Linked DNA regions of Drosophila melanogaster. The protein of the gene in region 1 interacts with the protein of each later gene in a pairwise test. Each region holds a gene or a part of one and is shown on either strand. Other genes may lie near its edges. The genes, in order: mRpS26, Pis, CG13840 and CG34296.

The links.
Region 2: the proteins of mRpS26 (region 1) and Pis interact in a two-hybrid assay, tested with the Drosophila melanogaster proteins (one large-scale study listed by BioGRID).
Region 3: the proteins of mRpS26 (region 1) and CG13840 interact in a two-hybrid assay, tested with the Drosophila melanogaster proteins (one large-scale study listed by BioGRID).
Region 4: the proteins of mRpS26 (region 1) and CG34296 interact in a two-hybrid assay, tested with the Drosophila melanogaster proteins (one large-scale study listed by BioGRID).

What each region holds. Positions count from the first base shown.
Region 1 is NT_037436.4:18,104,431-18,108,924, forward strand, and holds mRpS26 (mitochondrial ribosomal protein S26), read left to right. Parts: upstream 1-2,148; 5' UTR 2,149-2,231; coding exon 2,232-2,440; intron 2,441-2,536; coding exon 2,537-3,005; 3' UTR 3,006-3,069; downstream 3,070-4,494. Other genes in the region: Polr3D (RNA polymerase III subunit D), read right to left, coding at 3,532-4,097, 4,150-4,218, 4,291-4,494.
Region 2 is NC_004354.4:15,700,276-15,706,123, reverse strand, and holds Pis (phosphatidylinositol synthase), read left to right. Parts: upstream 1-2,353; 5' UTR 2,354-2,502; coding exon 2,503-2,554; intron 2,555-2,805; coding exon 2,806-2,940; intron 2,941-3,036; coding exon of another isoform or gene 3,037-3,095; exon of another isoform or gene 3,096-3,311; intron 3,312-3,461; coding exon 3,462-3,615; intron 3,616-3,708; coding exon 3,709-3,860; intron 3,861-3,938; coding exon 3,939-4,120; 3' UTR 4,121-4,673; downstream 4,674-5,848. Other genes in the region: Hap40 (Huntingtin-associated protein 40 kDa), read right to left, coding at 673-1,531, 1,718-1,896; CG9240 (uncharacterized protein), read left to right, coding at 5,037-5,135, 5,317-5,718. UniProt on the Drosophila melanogaster protein: Catalyzes the biosynthesis of phosphatidylinositol (PtdIns) as well as PtdIns:inositol exchange reaction. May thus act to reduce an excessive cellular PtdIns content.
Region 3 is NT_033777.3:22,813,574-22,818,789, forward strand, and holds CG13840 (uncharacterized protein), read right to left. Parts: upstream 2,606-5,216; 5' UTR 2,465-2,605; coding exon 1,064-2,464; 3' UTR 910-1,063; downstream 1-909.
Region 4 is NT_033777.3:29,720,528-29,724,335, reverse strand, and holds CG34296 (uncharacterized protein), read right to left. Parts: upstream 1,799-3,808; 5' UTR 1,778-1,798; coding exon 1,729-1,777; intron 1,673-1,728; coding exon 1,446-1,672; 3' UTR 1,323-1,445; downstream 1-1,322. Other genes in the region: Naa40 (N(alpha)-acetyltransferase 40), read left to right, coding at 1-134; Pcd (pterin-4a-carbinolamine dehydratase), read right to left, coding at 190-489, 748-898, 980-1,107; CG15506 (uncharacterized protein), read right to left, coding at 2,091-2,693, 2,904-3,179.

The DNA.
Region 1 (4,494 bases):
TTGCAACACGGGCAAGAAGGAGAACTGTAATTTGGTTTAATTGCCTCACAACATTTGCTAATTAGGTTTTACAGTTGGGGGGAACTCTTATCAGAATTTGCGAATGTTCTCCAAGCGCGGAAAAAGTTTGCATATTTAAGTTGAAGTCAGCGCCCATTCCCCAGATTTCCCCCTTTTAGCCAACACCTGCTGAGCTGCCGTGACTGAAAGTCATTTAAACTGTTTTACTTGCTGATGTTGTTGCTGCTGCTGGCATAATTATTTTCCTACACATTTTTGTGTTTAGATTTTCAAAGACCTCAGGTTGGAGATGGGCAAATAAATTAGCAAGCAGATTTTGCACTTGCTCAGGCGTTCAAGGCAAGACTTTTGACTTCTGCGTCGCGTGGTGCAGTGCCCCGAAGTTGCAACTCTTTTTCGGAATTTTTAATGAGCGTTGTTGATAAGCCAAACGAGGTTATGTTGGTGGGAAAATAAGTTGTGTAGCGGGAATTTACTGGCTTAAATAAGTTAAGCTCACAATTTGATAGGTAATTTCAAACTATCACAGAAGCTAACCTAAATAGTTGGGAATATTAAGTATTTATATTGAAATAAAGGGAATTAGATTAGTACATTGTCGTTATCATCCAACAACTTTGCATTCTTTCTGTATTAATCTTGTTTAAATCACGTTTTTAGATATAAAATCTTATCTTAAATGCTGGAGAATGTGAAAGTAAACAGATTGAAAAAGTTGCATAAGATAAACATTCCAACGATTAGAGAGCAGTAAACTTTTAATCGTACAGTTAAGGTACACTAATTAAATTATAAGAAAAGAAGATGTGGCATTTTAAGGCACTAAGTTTTAAAAAGGAAAGTCTACATTACCCATTTTAGTTATTTAATTAAAAGAGAACAATAGAACCCCTGTTTCGTGCAGTTCAAGCAATTGAACAAATTCGATATGCAAAATTGATCGCCTTATAAGAATTTCCAGCTACGAAGCGATCCAATTCGATTCGATTCGATTCTGTGCGTGGTAAGCGGTTGGGATACATGAGACACACATATGAGACAATATTTACAGTCCAACCAGTGCGAATTGCCATTCCAATCAGAGGTAAACAAAAATCAAAAGCCAATGTGAAAAAAAATGCCAACAAACCTGTACGAGTTGTTCGCTGCCGCTGCGCTGCTGAAGCTCTGCTCCCGCCGACGTCTGCGTCGAGAACTTCGGCTTTAAAGCTCTCAGATGGAGTTTTTGTTGTTGTTCTTGCTGCTGCTGCCTTTTTGCATGTGCAAATCGAAAGAGAGCGAGAGAGAGAGGGAGCTATGGAGCTGTGGAGCCCACCAATACTCGGGCTTTTTGGACAGGTAAGCGAAACACGTCGCAAAGAGCAGATGAATAAGAAGAAGACGCAGTAATGAATGATCGTCGCTTTAACTTTTCGCTTGCATCGGTATGCGTGTGTGCATTTCTGGGAGTTAACTTTTAACACTTTTAGCCTTGGCAAGAGATATATACAATATGCACTTTCCACACTGCTTCTAACTGACTTAGCTTTTCAATAACGCACACTATTTTTTTAAACACGAACACACACACACTTTCAAGGCGCGCCGGCTGCGCAAGCCACTTTTGTTTTAAGTTAGCCCACGTACAAGAGGCGAAACAGCGAAGTTCCGTAGCTCGGATTTTAATGCGGCCAGCGCGGCGATATATCGTCGACTGAGTGAGCAGTTACTTTTCGTACCTTCCCGTCAAGTTCACCTGGCCAAAAGCTTTTAAGCCCGAGCTGAGCGCAGCGCAATTGTGAGAAACGCACTAGTGCGTTGGAAGTTTGGCTATTTTCACAACAGATCTGTCTGGACTTCAAAGCTTGTATCTTTGGACAAATAAAAAACATTCATAACCTGCGCAATTTAATTGCAAAAACTTGTTAGCAACGCAAAATTAAGCTGTACCTAAAAATATATCTATGTAGCTGAGTATATAATTATATTTTAATATGAATATGTACGACAATAAATTTAGTAAGTTGACAACCAAATTACTATTGCCTTTCTATCTGAATTTGATTTGTTAAGATTGATTTATTCCTTGATTCTTCGATTTTCCATATTGGTCATCACTGACGGAACCAGCAATCGAACTGCGCGGAACCAGTTCACCGACAACAGAGTTGCACAACAGTTCAGCAGCGGCAAAGTAAAAATTACATTTTGTTAATTAAACTGCTTTTATAATGCTGCGAGCGGGATGCCAGCTGCTGACGCAGTCCACCCTGCCCACCGGGAAGACGGTCGGAAATAGTTTCGCCCTCGAGTTCGTCCGCTGGCGCAGGAAACCGCGATGGCTGCCGGTGGCCAAGAGCAAGATGTTCCGCGTGCCTGAACGCAAGAAGCAGTCGGAGGAGGAGCGCACGGAGCTCATGAGGCTACACAACCAGTACAAGTGCGTGCACCAGCGCCAGATTCTGTCTCTGGTCAAAGATAATTTGTAATCGGTTTCAAAAGACGTTATACAAAACAATCTACGCCTTGATTTCAGAACGCAGCTTCGCTCAGTGCGTCAGTTTCTAAGGGAGGAAGTCGTCCGCCACGAGGAAACATCCACAGCAGATCACATCGTGCTCACTCCCGAGCAGGAGGAGGCCGAGTTCCAGAAATGCCTGGATGCCAATGCTGCCTGGAACGCTGCCATAGCCAAGGAGCGTGATCAGCGATTGGCCAAGAAGCGTGAGGAAAAGGTGGCCTATATTCAGGAGCGATTGGAGGCACAACAGCTGCGCGAGGAGGAGCGCAAGGAGCAGGCCAACCAGCGGGTGCTGCTCGAGATTGAGCGTTCCAAGAACTATATCACTAGGGAAAACTTGGATGCAGCCATTGAGACAGCGTTGGCCAATCCCGTGGACCACAATTTCGCCATCGATATGGCCGGTAATCTTTACCACGGACGAAGCACCTCTCAGCTCCCGGACGCCACTCCCGAACCCAACCAGCAAGTTTTGAGTAATTAATTAATGCAGTGTCTTAGTTTGTTGTTACATTAAAATGCTTTTTATAGGTTTCTAACCAAAGTTGAAAGTCCGTGTTTTTTTTTATTTTTCTGCACAATAAACAACACACTTAAGTATATTTGATTTGCGCAAAAGAATAGGAATTGGATAACCTAGCTATTGTAAAGCGATTTGCTAGAACTAGAATACTTTTCAAATTTTAAGACCGTATTTGAAATTATAATAATCACTTAATTTGAACATATAATATATCAACAATCCATTAACCTAAAAATTAATCTTGGGTCATTGCATTAAGTATTGATGGCTTAATTTACGTTACATATCCCCAAGTTCCAAGCCCATCTTTCTTGGAGTCTCTTTTATGTTCCATATTCGAGTACAATTGTTAATAACCTTTTGAAAAGCATTTGTATTATAAAAATTTCTATATTTAACTTTTATATACGGCATTTAGAATAGGAATAACTTAAGCTTAGGCGCAGCCTATTTACTATATTACATATCTACCATGGGGAAGTGGGTGCTACGTGCCCGGTACTGGATTCGTTCGCTTGGATGCCGCATCCTGCTGCTGGAAAAGGTGCACCCAATCTGGAGTGGCCTTTAGTTTGGCTTGAATGGGTCCCAAGTTGATCATGTTTCCACTACGTTGCTCGCGATTGGCGGTTACAGACATGAGTTCCTGCAGAAAACCCGGATCGAGACCCATATCCAAGTCAAAGCGTGTGTCCCCCAATTGGAGTTTAACGCGACCGGATTTGTACCTCAGAATCTTGCCGATCTGCCCTTCTTCCAGCTGCCGTAGTACACTGCCCTTGGGTCCGTTTGAGCATTTGTCTGCAGGACTTGCTGGTTCCGATTCACTGGTGGCCTGATGATCTCCTTTAGACGGTTCCGGATCTTCGGAATCGTCGCCCACACATGGCAACACATCTGGCAGTTGCATGAGAAAGATCTGCGCTTCGCTGGAGTCCAGAAAGTTACCAATGGTGCGTGGGTAGCGACCGTACTGCAGCGGAGGTTCCTCTAAACTGGCTGCCTGGGCAGCCACATGCAGCTGTTGCAAATGCTGGGCCACTGCCAAAGTGTCTAGGAGCGAAATCAAATTAGATTATGCCATTTTTAAAGCTTAGCGCCTTACCCTTAAGTGTTGAGGTTGAACTGGCGATTTCTTGCTTCGCAATCGGTGTCTTCTGGGTGACCCAGAGTCCTAACGTTTATAAACAAATAAAGCATGAATTTCTTCTGCCCGTGTGCATCAAAAAGTGCTTGTAAAACGTACCCTCTTTTAGCAGGATGGGCCTGAGTGCCATCTCAGTCTTGTTAGCCTCCTCTTCGCTGAGCTCGCCGCCACTGGCGTCCGACTCGCCCAAGAGCTCCTTGATCCGCTCGGCCTGGCTCTTGTCGTCCTTGCGATCCACCCGTTTCCTGGTCACGGACACCTCCTCACCGCCCCGTGCATATGCCGTTCCATTTCCTGTGGACC
Region 2 (5,848 bases), on another chromosome or scaffold:
ATGGAAATTGTAACAGGCTTAGGAAGGATTAATGGGTATTACATGAAACGTACATGCATACATATATGAAAATTTACAAATTACATAAACAAACAGATATTATAGGATATTTAACAAATTGGAATTGTAAACTCCAGCGAAAAACAAAAAAAAAAAAAGTTTTGTAAGCAAACACAAAGAAATCACGAAATTCGATTCGGAATATCAGTTGTGGCACCCGAAGAGTGTCGCATTAATTAGCTAACTTAATTGAGAAATTGCTAAGAAACAAAAAACAGAAGTTGCTTGACAAAGGTAAAATAAACAAATTAAATGACCAAAATATTGCATTACTATTAATAGGGGGCTTCATAGAACATCTGTTGGATTGATTAGAAACAAGTTGGTGGTTTGTTAGTCATCTTTATCTTCGCACTATCATGCGCATTCCTCTTCATTTATTGTACAAATCACAAATCCTATTACATTTCATTGCGCTTCGCACCTTCTGTTTATTGCTGCATTCACCTGGTCATTCGTTTGTTAATTTAATTCAATTTTTATGCGTGTAGGCACGTTCAAAGGTTAGTTGGTAGACTTGGTTACACTTAAGCGATAGTTGCATGTGTCATTCTCATTCAGTGGTAATGATCCAGTAGTAAATAATGTACAGTACGATCTTAGGTCTAAAATCTAGTAGCTTCGGGCCAGTTCTGCATGCATCACCGCCAGCAGCTGCCTTTCCATGTCGCTCAGCGATCCAAATTCGGCTCCAAAGTCGCGCAGCAGGTGCTTTAGATCGCACATTTTACGCTCCACCCAGGCGCACGTAATCTCCGCCAGCGCATACTGCTGCTGTTCGGGCACAAATGCTCCCGGACGCTCCGCGGATCCACCGTCGTCCGCCGAACAGGGGAGCGACTCGAACTGCGCCAGGTTGTAGTAGTACTCGATCAGCTTGATGTGGGCGGGTGACTGGCGTGCGGGAGGCAGGTTCAAATGGACTAGGAGCAGCAGACGCAGCACCTCAACGCGCCGCAATAGTTCACCGTACATGCGAGCACCGCGTCGCTCGTAAACATTGTCCACAATGTCGTCGTAATGCTGCAGTGCACTGCGAAAATCGCCGCGCTGGCCACTCGTTTCGGCGCTGATTTCCAGGTCATGGATCTGATGGGTGGGCGAGGCAAAGCTGCTGGTGCTGTCCAGCTGCCGCTGCAGCTGCTTCAACTCGCGCAGAATGGCCGCCTTGAAGACGCAACCGTCCACCGCTCGATCCGCCGCACGGTGATAGCAGTGCACCGCTCCCTCCCGAAATCCCGAGTGGCGGGTGCGCAGATGCAGTCGCCCGGACTCGTTGTGCGCCGCTAGGAAGGATCTAGCTGCCCGCAGATAGGCCTCCGATTCGCGCTGCGGTGCGCCGCCGTAGGACTCGCACTTGGCATAGCCAATGTGGCACATGGCCGCATACTGCTGTATGCCCGACTCCTCGAAGCTGTAGGCCAGTCGCTGGAAGTCCGCCTGCACATCGACCACGCTGGGCGCAAAGCGTCTGGGAATTAGAGAAACAGTGGAGTATTGAGATTGTATTCCGTGATTCGAGGGCTTCTAATACACCCGTATTTCTAAACATAGTTTGAAGATGGAGGAAAAGCGATAAATTGGGCAATGACTTGCTAATCAAACGCAATGATCTGCAAGGTATCTGATTGCCCATACTTGGGCCGTAGCTACTCACTTGAAGAAGCCGGCCCGCTCGAACTTCTTGATCTTGCTGGAGGCCCTTAGATATTGCTCGATCAGGTTTTTGGGGTACTGATACTGCTCCAGTTGGTGGTGCTCATGGCCCGGAGCCGTCGATGGCGCGCCGCTGGAGGATCCGCCGCCGCCCAGACTGCCGCCGCGGAGTTTATCCATGCTACAGCATGTGGTTCTCCGCGCAGGTTACTTCGGGTCGCGCTACTTGTGCATTATATTTTCGCCTGTATTGTGTTTTTATTATTATTTGTGAAAACTTTATCGCGGGCGGTGTGACCATGCCATGTCCCGCTGAGGAATATACTAGCTTAGAAGCGGTATGCAAAGATCCATTTACACTGCTCAACGGCAGCGAAAATGTATCAAAACGGCACGCAAATCGCTGTCAAAACTCATTTAACAAGCAACTACACTAGTTGCCCGGTTTTGGTAGCTCATGTTAATAATCTAGTGACCTTTAATTTGTATTTGATACATTTAAAATGATATACTAATTACTAAATTTCTATTGGAAGAGAAAAATAGAAACTAGAAACAGATGTGTGTCAGTGGAAACCATCTGAAATCTTGTTGGCCAGTATAGTTCGGTATTTTCTCTCAAGTCTTTGTTTGTTTTTTCCAAAGGTCACGCTGCGGTCACACCAGATACAGCAAATTCTGTTTCCACTGTTTTTTCTGCAGCACTTTTGGCATTTAATTGGATAAAAACAAGCCGCAAAGCTAGAAGATCGCAAAATAAACGAAAAACCAAAGTGGCGAAACAAAATGACAATTGCCGAGCACGATAACGTCTTCATCTTTGTGCCAAATCTGATCGGTGAGTGGCTGTTTGTAGGTTTTATTCCGTGCTCCAGCTAGGTAAACAAATCGCATGTTCGATTTATGCGGCGCAATAATAGCGATTCTAGTGTTCCCTAATTGGATTAATAGGGGCTGTTTGGCAGCTAGTGCAATGCGAAGCGCAAGTTCAGCGATAAGAGCCGCTTCGTCCAACCCAATTGAGTCACCTCCAATGATTCTATACGTATGATGCACGCATATGTGCTGATTTATATTGATCTTTTCCAGGCTACGCCCGCATCGTTCTGGCCCTGATCGCCTTCTGGTTCATGTCCACCAACTATGTGATCTCCGGCTGGTGTTATGTAACCTCCGCCCTCCTGGACGCCGTCGATGGACAAGCAGCCCGAGCCTTTAACCAAAGTAAGCATTAACCATGCGATCGCCCTTGATATCGAAATGCCAGCTCATGCCAGCTATATGTCTGTATTTGATTTGTGCGCGCACTTTGGCCGCTAGCGCATTGCAAACACCTGTCTCCTCCGTACTGGTTATCTGCCGATATTGTGGAATTGTAGGCACGCCCTAAAGAGCCCGATATGGTCACGGCTATCCAGCCAATCGATGGATGACGTGGGGCTGAAGAATAGATAGAAAGCATGGCTAATATTGCCTTGGAACTATGCAATGTAGTTAGCAATATAGGAGGAAAAACATTAGGATAGAAGCCTTCTAAGAAACAAATTGCAGATACCATGCAATGTTTATGATATAGTAGTGTAGCAAACTGAAAGGTATGATCTTGCACTTGGATTTGTTGTATGCTAGCAGGATGATTTAGAGTCTTAACGAAAGGGTACTCCAACCAAAATATGTATATCAAAATATTAGTAATTATCATATGGTACTATGGAATCTTTACTAAATACTCGATTACCTCACAGGCACTCGCTTTGGCGCCATGCTAGACCAGTTGACCGATCGCTGCGGCACCACCGGCCTACTGGTCACCCTGGCCTACTTCTATCCCCGGTACATGTTCTGGTTCCAGCTGTCCATCGCCATCGACGTGGCCTGTCACTGGCTCTTCATGCAGACGTAAGTGGGGCAGGGGAAAGAGCAAGATGCTGGACGTCTGGACTGTCAAGGAATGGAAGGAAACTAATGACTCGTGGCTTTGTCTTTTTGCAGGAGCGTTGTGGTCGGACGCAGCTCGCACAAGGTGAATGACAACTTCATAATGCGATTGTATTACCAGAAGGACATACTCACATTCATGTGCTGCGTCAATGAGCTGTTTTACGTGTGCTTGTACCTCTTGCATTTCACCTACGGCCCGCTGAGTGAGTATACGCACACGCACATGCTTTGCATTTCAGCTGGCGAAACGTATCTAATCCGTTGATGGACTTCAATTGCAGTATTCGGCGCATCGCTCTTCAAGATACTCGCCTTCCTCACGGGTCCCTTTGCCGTGCTCAAGGCCCTGATCTCGGTGATGCACGCCTACGTGGCGGGCATCGATCTGGCGGCCGTGGATGTACGCGAGCGGCAGGAGCGGCGCCAGAAGTCGGAGCCGGTGAGCGGCAAGAAAGTGGAGTGAAAATGGGATGCGATCCGGGATCAATCTTCCAGCGACAGTTCTATCAACAGAAAGTACTAAATGAAACAACTCTTGATTCCAAGCTAAAAAAACAGAATTTTGAAGACGAATTGCGATCAGATGAAATATGGGCATTAGGCAACCAAATAGGCCGTAGTAGGAATTTAATTTATTTTTAATGCGCTATTGCAATGATTGTTGATTTTATTTGATATATTTTAGTTAGACGGGTGGTGAAATCACCCGACAATTTGTATTTAATAGATTTTTGAATTGAAATTTAAGCGATTCGTTCCAGTCAGTAGCTGTTGCATATTTATTTTGCCTTTAGTTAGCGTAGTTTACACGCTATATATGTATATATATGCCAATGCGTAAATGCAGGCCGATATACTATGAATGAGTGTCTATTTCCAGGATTTATCTCACTGTGCACGTTTTGGGTTTGACTAACCACCTTGTCCCAGCAACTCTCTCAATGTAACTAATGTATTTCTAATCGTAAGTTAAAGAATGTAATTGGAGACCTGCATGAAATATATACGACAAATGGATGTTAGATGTATTTGAAACATTAACATATATGTACCATACATGCCAGGCCTGGCAGACTTAGTCAAAATTGAAAAGTGAAAATAAATATATGTGGTTCTATGCGCTAAATTTTAGTTTAACCTTTTGGGCCATCGATTTTTGAAATTTGCGCCACACAAAATTTATCGTTAGACATCAAAATTATCGTTGGCACATCCCTGGCTGGCCGCTCAGCTGCGCCGCCTGTGCAGCCCTGATTTTTACACAACATAAACATTCGATTTTGGAGGAGCTCTTTTTTCGAGAGAATACCAGGTCGTTGGACACGGGAGATGCTCTGATTAGGGGCGCATGTGGAGCAGCCAACGCCGGAATCGCCGACATGAAAATCCTCTCCCGTCTGGGTCGCCTGATGCGCTACACGGTGGCCTACGCGGCAATCACACACTGCACCTTCGAGTACATTGGCGATTTCGTCCTGGTAAGGCGTCTAGGATGAAGTTCCTGGGCGGGTATACTTGCCCAACATGTGCCAGCATCACATAGTTCGTGTGAATGCATTAAGGTACTCTCCACTTGTTTTTCCACCTTGTGTAACTTCCACTTGATATCCTTCTTTTGCGGAAAAGTACGTACACTCACATTAATGCAACCATTTCCAGTGCAAAGGACCCTCCATGGAGCCCACCCTGCACTCGGACAACGTTCTTCTCACCGAGCGCTTGTCGAAACACTGGCGAACCTACCAGCCCGGCGACATAGTCATCGCCATATCGCCCATCAAAGCCGATCAGTTCATTTGCAAGCGTATCGTGGCCGTTTCCGGTGATCAGGTGCTAATCCAGAAGCCCATTCCCATTGAGGCGGAGTTTAGTGGTAATTCGGATGACAAGAAGAAGCCCGTGATGGTCAAGGACTATGTGCCGCGCGGACACGTTTGGATTGAGGGTGACAACAAGGGAAACAGCTCGGATTCCCGCTACTACGGACCCATTCCGGTGGGCCTCATCCGGAGCCGCGTGCTCTGCCGCATCTGGCCGATATCCGAGGCCACGGGTCTATAGATGGCATTCGTACAACAAAGAGTTTAAAATCAACTTGACCCAATAAATGGCCTATGTTTCGTTTGGAAATTATAGTACATCAAACCACAACTTTTTAGAATCATTACGTATGCGAGTTTCGTCTCATTTG
Region 3 (5,216 bases), on another chromosome or scaffold:
GTTTAATTTTCCCAAGAAAAAGAAGGACTCAGTAAGCTTAGGTTTGTTGGTCTACCGCTAGGTGGCTGAGTAATGAGTATTAAGTAAGTAGTCAAAGCGCTTTAAACCCCAAATCTTTGAACTCATTTTTCCCCAAACATTTTCCTTAAATTCTCCTTTGCTGCCGAATATTACATATATTGTGTGTGGTGGGTGCGGAGTTCTTCCTCACTTCGCCTCCCTAAAAATGGAGTCGAATGGCTCCCACGTCAATTAGGGCTAATTTCATTAGCCGGCAATAACTTGCAGCACTTTCCCCAACCAGAAACTACTGGCCCGACTTTTCGCGACCCTTGCTGGAACTTTACTTTTTGGCTAATTTTGTTGCTGTTTCGTTAACGCCTCGGCGAAGTTGAACGTCGCGTTTATTTGTGCGTCATTGTTGCTCCTTCTGCTGTTTCAGTTAAAAGTTGTTTCAACTGGAGTTACATTTGGCAATTAGCCGCTGCATTTTCTTGCACTTTCGCTGCAGCCCCCTTTTGCATTGCAACCGGACTTCAGCCTCGTTCTGCCCATCGCACTTCAATACATATTTATTAGCCGCATTTGTTGGATTTTAGCTCAATTAAAAAGTTTTACTCGGCTACTTTTCTTCATTTCGGTTTGGGACCTGCCCTGTGACTCCAACTTCAACTTCGACTCCGAATGTGTTGTTTTGTTTGGTAGCTGTTAACTGGGAGTTAGAAACTTGGATTTGGGATCAAGGAGTTGCATGCTGGATGCTTTTGCAGCCACACTGCAGTTGCTGTCGGTGGCCTTTTTTGTCTTCTTGTTTTGCTAATTGCAATTACTTTTTGGGGTTCAGTCACTAGAAATTAAGGCATAAGCTGAATTTGAAATACTCTAGCCGTTAATCAAACTGCATAACATGAAAAATTAATAAATGTATTTAATTCAACTTAAGAACATTCCACCAAAAATATATTTATCGACTACCCTACAGTTTGTACTTTTACTTTACAAATCAAAAAACCCCTTTTGCAAGGGTATAAAACTGGCTTAAGAATTTATTCTTAAGATAGACTCATCCCAGCAGATGATTGCCGTTGGCACTCCAGCCGGGTGCCACGTAGTGGGGGCGCTGCTTGTGCACCACCGTGCGCACCACTGGCACTTTGACCGGATACGGATAATAAACTGGCGAGACCACCGGCTTCTCCACTCGGTAGGGTACCCTGCGCTCAACCACAAAGGGAATGGGCCGCTCCACGGGCACCGGCTTCACCCGTTCGATGGGAATCTTAACCTCTTGCATCTGGGGCACGGCCACCGTTTGGGCCACTGGTATTTTGATGGGCATGGGCTTGGGTATGGCTGCGATCACGGTTCGTGGCACTTGCACCTGGACGTTCTGCTTGAAGGGCACATGCTGCTTCTGATAGTGGGTGATGGGCACACTCTTAGTGATCTCGATGTGCTTGGCCAACGGCAATCCGGCTACCGCTTTACTGCTCTCCGGAGTATGGTGCACACTGGTGGTTATGGCTGGGAGATCTGCAATCTGGCTATCCTTGTGAGAGTACAACATCTGCTGGTCCTGGGCAACTCCCAGGCGCTGGTGATGCCGTTGATCCTGAGGATATTGCAGCGCATGTGGCCGCTTTTGTTGCAGATGTTGTTGCAAGTGTGGCTGTTGCAGCTGTCTGCTTTCAGGTTGCTGATAATGTCGCTGCTCCAGTGGCTGGCTTTGCTCCCGGTTTGGATGATGACTCGATAGGGACTCTTCCTGCTGACGCTTAACTGGATTGGCCGGTGTCTGGAGTTCTTTGAGCCGCGCATAGATACTAGTAATATCCTCCTGCTCCTGGTGCTGCTGCTGCTGATGTTGCTCCACCTCCTGCTCCCGCTGGCGATTCTCCCGGTAATTGGAAATTTGTTCGAAATGGTAATCGCTGGGACCGGGTAGCGATGTGGCAAACTGCACCCGCGGCCGATATGCATAGCTTTCGTAGTGCTGCTCCCCATGATGTGGCTCCACATCGTAGCCAGCGGAATTTGGCTCATAATTTGCCGTATTAATGACAAAATCGATATTGGCGGATGGGTCGCGACGCGGCTCCTCATCCGCGGTGAATGGCGAGTGCAGTTTGCTGTTGTAGTAGAAGGGCACAAAGCCATTGGCCGTGGTGCCAAGGGAGGATTGCGAATGGCGATGGTGCTGTTGATGGGTGGCGGCCAGGAGTTTGTGAGCATAATTTCCATATGTTGCCAAGTCATCGCCGGCTGCAGTGTCAGTGGGGCCATAATAATTTCGCGTATATCCTGTTAATCCCGGCAACGAGTCCACACCCGCATCCTGGTAATGGTGTTTGCTGCCATGTTCCAGCGACAGGCCGAGCGGGTACTCCGCCAGGGATAGGGGCAGTGGGGCATCTATGGCCTCCATTGTCATGGCCAAAGCGAGCCACATTAATGCATAGATCATTAATGAACTGGTGGCAGGTGACCCAAAGCCTTGGCCGGATTTTGGCCGCCCCATAACGTTGGGTGGTTGTGTGTGTCCTGAAATCCTGAACTCCTGTGTCCTATATCCTTTGTTCCAATCCGCCAACGGAGTGCGTGTTTGGATGCAGCTGGCGTGGGTGTTGCTCCGCTTTGAAATGCAAATTTGTGACATCGCGATGCTGTTTTTATAGCACACACACACTCTTCAAATGCTTGGAGCGCTCTACTTGTAATTGGATATCCTCGTTGGCACTTCAAGTTCATTGGCCAATCCACCATGGATTGTGTAAGTGGAAGCCCATGCCCAGGCACTCACTTTCACTCGGCGGCACACACCAACTGTTCCAGATAGTCCCTTTCTGGTTGTTCCTTTCAGATGCAAGTGAGGCGGCGATCCGCTGTCCGCACAATTCGCAATCACAAAATACGCAGCTATACCGCAATTGCTAGCCCGCAATGCACATCGACCTATGCACTGTGGTCTAATAGGGCTCAAAAATTAAAAAAGAAAATCTATTGTGGATGTGATAAAAATGGTAAAAATGAAGTTATTAAATTAAGTAAGTTTTGTTTTGAGTGCATAAATATTGCTTCCTTTTTAAGCTAGCATAATATTTGATAATTTTCAACATAGCTGTAACCACTGTGCACCGGTTGGCTCCCAGCCGCATCGGATTTCACACTGTGTGGCAGCTTGCGGTCAATGTCGCGGCCATTCCGATGTTTGATTGCACAAATGGTGACGTGCGCTTCATGTGCTTGCGGTCCGGTCTTTGCCAAGTGCAATCGCCGGAGATTTGAAACGCGTCTGAGATCTCGGATTGCAGCACTTTCAATTTTCATCTGGATGCATTCGACGACATTTGGTATCGTTGCTCTTGCATAATTTACCAGCCACGCCTTCACTCACTCAAAGCTGACAATGCACTTTGGGTCTAAAGTGATTCAATTTTAAAGAACCTTTGCGGGAATAGCATTCTCAGCGATTTTATAGTGCACTCAGCAAAATAGTTGATATAAGATTATAATATTTCTATATTCAGGTTTGTAGAATTGAAGATACATTTAATATGTGATACATAGATATATTATACCTTAGTTACCATTTTTGTGTTTTCTGCCATTCGTAGTTCGTTTAAAGTATTGTAGTGTTATTTTCCGATTTTAATCTTATATTTGTGATTTTCTCTGCGAGTAGTTGCCTCTGGCGGGAAATCAAGGGAAAGTCGGCGAAAAACGGAGATAGAGCGAGTTCTTTTCGTTGCTAGCCTGGCATCCTTGGATCATTCATCATTCTGCTCTGCATTTAAGTTTGCAAAGTTCACCAGGTTCGCATCGCCACCTTTCTCTATATACATATATATATATATATTTGTATATATATAGACCCACCTTAGCCACGCCCCCTTAGAGCGGCGTTAGCAGCAACGCCCACCGTCACCGCACTTTTGAAATAACAGCGCAAAGTACAAGTAAAGTGTATTTTCACATTGAATGAGGTTAAGCTTCGTTAAATTTTGCGCAGCTTCACTGTACAGTTAAACCTCCCCATCCATATCACCTGGAACGAGAGTGTGTGTGTTATACTTGTTGGATGCAATTTTTTTCGCTTCTTTTTCATTACTTCAAATGCTTTCAAGCCCTGTGAAGCATATTTTAGCAAAGTTCCCATAGAAAAGAAGCCAGCCAGCTAGCCACCCAGCTTAACATGGCCAAAATGTGTAAAGAAAAAAATCTACTAAAAAAAAAAAGAACAGAAAATAAAAAAAAGTGAGTAGAAAAAATCGACAAAACGATGGCAAAGTTAAATGCCTGCATACACATACTTATTAAAGTTCAAAGTTTTCTTTGGCGCGCTCTGCATAAAATCCATCATAAAATTAACAGGCGGAGAGGAGCAGCAGGAGCAGCAGGAGCAGATTTTGCTGTGACACTGAAACTTCATTAAGTCACGTTAAAACGTTAAAATGAGAAAACGGTCGAAGGAAAGGCAAAAATCCAGCAGCCAGCAAAAACAGAAGCCAAGGCAGCCAGCAAATAGCCAAGAAATTCCAGCTATGGCATAGTTGGCAACGTCGCTGGCCTTTGCTTGACCCGCTCGGAGGTGGGTTTTTTTTTTTTTAATGGGGGACTCAGAGGCTTCGGCGGATACGGCGGACTCCGATGTTGTGGGTGACTCGGGGTCGACGGTCATCGTTGCATGCGAATTTAATCAAGTCATGCAATAGAATTTACGGTTCCATTGCCTTTCGGCCGTCGATGCCGATGGTCGTTCCGTCCTCGTTTGTTGGTCCACTCCCCACAAAGATTTGGCCCAAAACTTGGCCTTGGCTGTATAGTTTGGGCCCTAATGCCAAGTGTCGTCCCCCATTGCCCTACCGTCCCCACATCCCACTCATACCTCCTCACCGTACAGTTTATTCAATGTCCTTCGGCTTTATTCCTGGAATTGAGCCGCCTGTTTGTGTTGCTTCTTGAGTTTTTTGTTCAATGCTTGTTTTAAACAATTTGCGGTCCTGGTTTCGCGGGGCAGGGGCTCAAAGTTTTTGAGGCACTTTTATTATTTCGTATTGTGGCACAGGAAAAATTCGTATACGTGATTAAATTCTTCGAATTTGAATTTATAATTTGAAATGCGCATTTTTTTTTTACCCTTTTTCGTTATTGCATTTTTTATGGAGATATTTATATATGCATATGAATTTATGAAATATGCCAATCAAAGCTGGCTA
Region 4 (3,808 bases), on another chromosome or scaffold:
TGCTGACCGTTCTCAACAACAACGAAGCCTCCATTTCCTTCTTCAAGCAACTGGGCTACGTCAAGGACGAGATCTCGCCAGATGTCCTGGAACAAGCCGACTACCAAATCTTTAGCAAATCGATGCTAAGCTGAGTATTTATTGGACACCGAAGATTATAGATATTTAGCAACTAGTATAACAATGCGTTTATTTCAACAAATTGGCCGTGGTCTCCAAGTGCGTGGCCATGCGAATGTCCTGCGAACTGAGACCGCCCACGTCGTGCGTGGACAGGGTCACGTCCACCTTGTTGTAGCAGTTGAACCACTCGGGATGGTGGTTGATCTTCTCGGCCAGCAATGCCACGCCCGTCATGAAGCTGAAGGCCTGGTTGAAGTCCTTCAGCACGAACTGCTTGAAGATGGCGTCGCGCCCCTCCACCAAAGTCCAGCCGGCGTCCAGGAGGGGCTGCAGCTTCTCGGCGCGTTCCTGTTCGTTTAGTCGTACCTAAAGGGCAGCGAGCAACAAGTATGTGAGTGTTATTGATTCATACGATATATATACAAAATAATTTGTGAGCGAAAAACCTCCATTTCTGGCCAAAATCACAGTGATTCTATTTGTTAGGGCATAAAGCACTTTCCGAAAGTCCAAACCTGTCCTTGGGTGGTCGATTGATTTCAGTTGGAGGCGATAAGGGAACCACTCGATTTCGCTGAGACTCCGTTCACCTTGATCTCAAACTCACTTTCGGCTCGTACTTACCACCATTTTGCGCTTTTTCGCTGTGATTGCGGTTGCTGTTGCTTCTGTGGTTGGGGTGTTGTGGATTCTCCGGAGATTCGCACTGCCACCAGTTGCTGCCCGTGCTGCTTCTCTCGCTGCTGGCGAATACAGAACTGAGATTTGCGACAGGCTGCGCGAAAAATAAAGCTCAGATTTAAGTTTGGTATTTTTGCCCCTCCCTCCCCTTCCGCACATTCCACCTTTTGAATACCTTCTACTCGTTGCTGTTGTTGCAGTTGTGGGGAATAAACCAGCTCTGCGGCTGCTGGCAAGCAGATTGGCCACTTTCTGGCAGTTCGGCTTAATCACATTCTGAGCGCATTTAATTGTTAACAACATTTTCGATCCAAAACTCGTTTGTTCTTAGCTGCTGTTTTTGTTGCTGTTGCTGTCGGCGCGGAACAGCTGACTTGTGTCGTATGTTAGCTAACATTGAGTTAACATGGAGCTGTAAAAACTGCCAACTTGTTTTGACAACGTCTGCTAGCAACATAACTGTTATAAAGTCTAATGCCGCGTAATTTGAATTTAGATTTCTTATTGGATTTCTTATTGATTTCTAGAGATTTGACATACAGTTTATTTATTAAATGGCCTTCTCTTACATTGTTATGACATTAAAGTCGCTCTGATTATATCAAGTGTTAATATATAGTCATATGGCTGGAATATGACTATTACTTGTGCACCACATTCTCCGTCTCCCCATTTCCGTAATAGTCGTAATCCGAACTGGCGGTGGAAGTGGCCAGCTTGGGATGGTCGGTGGTGGTGACCGTGTTAACGGTTGATCCACTGGATCCAGTGACCACTTCAGGCGCCACAGTGGTTGTCTTCCTCCAACGCAAGCTATAGCGACTGCGAATGAACGGCGGCTTGGTCACCAAAACCGAGTCACCAATCGCTGCATATTGGATATTGTTATTCATTGGGTATCCAAAGACCAAAGTTGTAGCTCACCCATTCCGATGAGGCAACAGCAGAGGATCAGGAGCAGGGCCAGCTTCATTCTGAGTTCCCCTTTCGATGTTAACTGTAACTTTTCCCGGCAACTCGACTGCCTTTATAGTCCCATCAGAGCTGAGATAAACGGCTCCCAATTCCCCGACGAAAGCGAAATCGTCCCCTGGTTTCCCTGGGGAACTGGGGAACATCCATCCAAGTTCAATCACCGCCAGTGCGATTTTATGTTTTTTATTCGTTATCTCTGAATGAACTCTTACTTTAGCTTACGGGTTAAGGCGACATTGTACAATCGAATCGATATTATGCCTAAGCGAAATGGTAATAAATACGTGTGTGGAATTTTGGTCAGCCCGCAATCAGTTGTCCGTTTCCGGTTTGCGTTCCGCTTCCGGTTCCGGTTCCGGTTCCGCGGGCCGTGGACGCTTGGGTCCGGAGGGTATTGGCGGAGGTGGAACATCCGGCACCGCGCTGTTTTTGCTCTCCGAACCGTTGCGAATGTCCTCGAAACTGGGCTGCGCCGGCTCCAGATTCTCCAGGGGAAGTGGCTGTGGCGAAGGTGGACTCTGGACGGGATTCAGTGGCTGTTCCTGCTCCGCGCGCGGCAAAGTGGCTGCCCGCAGGGGATAACCCTGGCTGGGATAGTAGTCGTACGGCGGCAAGTAGTTCTGCCTTATGAAGCCCGCTTGGTCATAGATCACTGGATACTGGCTGTAAGGATACGGTGGCAGGTGCATGGGTTGGCCTCTGAACTGGGAGGGCAGTGGTATCAGCACGGGCGGCAATCCCTGCTGATTCAACGGCACTGGCATCTGCTCCTTGGGCATCTCCTGGCGCTCCACGGTTCCGGGTGGCGACGCCGACTGCGGCTGCTGCTCCACTGGCGCCTCCACCGGTTGTTGGGGTTCATATGGAGCATAGCCAGCGGGATACTGGGCGGCAGATGGCAGAGGGTAAGGGAGCTGTAATATTAAGGTTTCAATAGTTTAAACTACTATATTTCTTTTTTGAGTGCGGTTCATTGCTCTAGTCAGAGATTTCTAGAGTGAGCTTTTTATGATACCTATTATTAAATTAATCATTGTCTTATTATAGCTAGCAGTAATTTAATCTTGCGAAATATTTCGCTAAGTTTATCAGTGTTAGCAACTTAATGAAACCCATAAGCTCACCCTCTCATTTGGCGTCAATCCCGGGACAATCGGTTGGCCGAATCTCACAATCGGCGGACTGTAGAATCCGTAGGGATTGTAGGGTCCAAAGGGGGCGTAGCCCGGCTCGTGAATGGTGGGCTGGATGACCGGATAGGCGCGGCTGGAGGTCAGGTTGTCGTCGGTGGTGATGAGAGCGTTGTAGACCTTGGGCTTCTTCCTCAGGCGACGGGCGGCCAGCGAGGAATCGGTCCACAGAACAAGTCCCAGTAGCAGTAGGAGAATCAAAATGGTGTGCTGCCGAGAATAGAAATCGAAATCGAAGTCGGCGTTTATATATTGTGCATATAGAAGTAGATACAAGTGACCATTGACAGCTGTCCCTGGGTTTGTCACTACTGCTGCTGGATGGCGATCAATGAAAACCATAATCTGTCTAATTGATCGCCATATCGACAATCAATCAATGAATTGTTTGGACTACGCACAATGTGTGCTTGTGCTGGACGGAAGTTGTGCAGCTGGAACTCTGGGTGCTCTACAGGGAAGCTTGTTAGTAATGGCTTTAAAAAGCCAGGTATTACGTGTCTGTATGGACTATATGGAGTCAGAAGAAACCCACGACTTTCAAATACCAGCACTGCAGTCGTCGAAACAATCAACACATGTCAGCCTTTGTTGCGAATTCTCTACACTTCATTAGTTTTGAATTGAAATGTAGATTGTTCCTTTAATTGGATTACGGAGTAGCCGATCGAACCGGACGGCGCTGCTACCTCTTACACTGAGCGAAAAAAGTCTATTCAGAACGTGTACATCGTTCACTTGAAAAGGTTAAGGCATACTTCATTTCTACATTCCATCTTCTATTGAGAACCAATTCTTTTGCCAGTGCATGGGTTCAAGTGGAGCTATGGCAAAGGCAT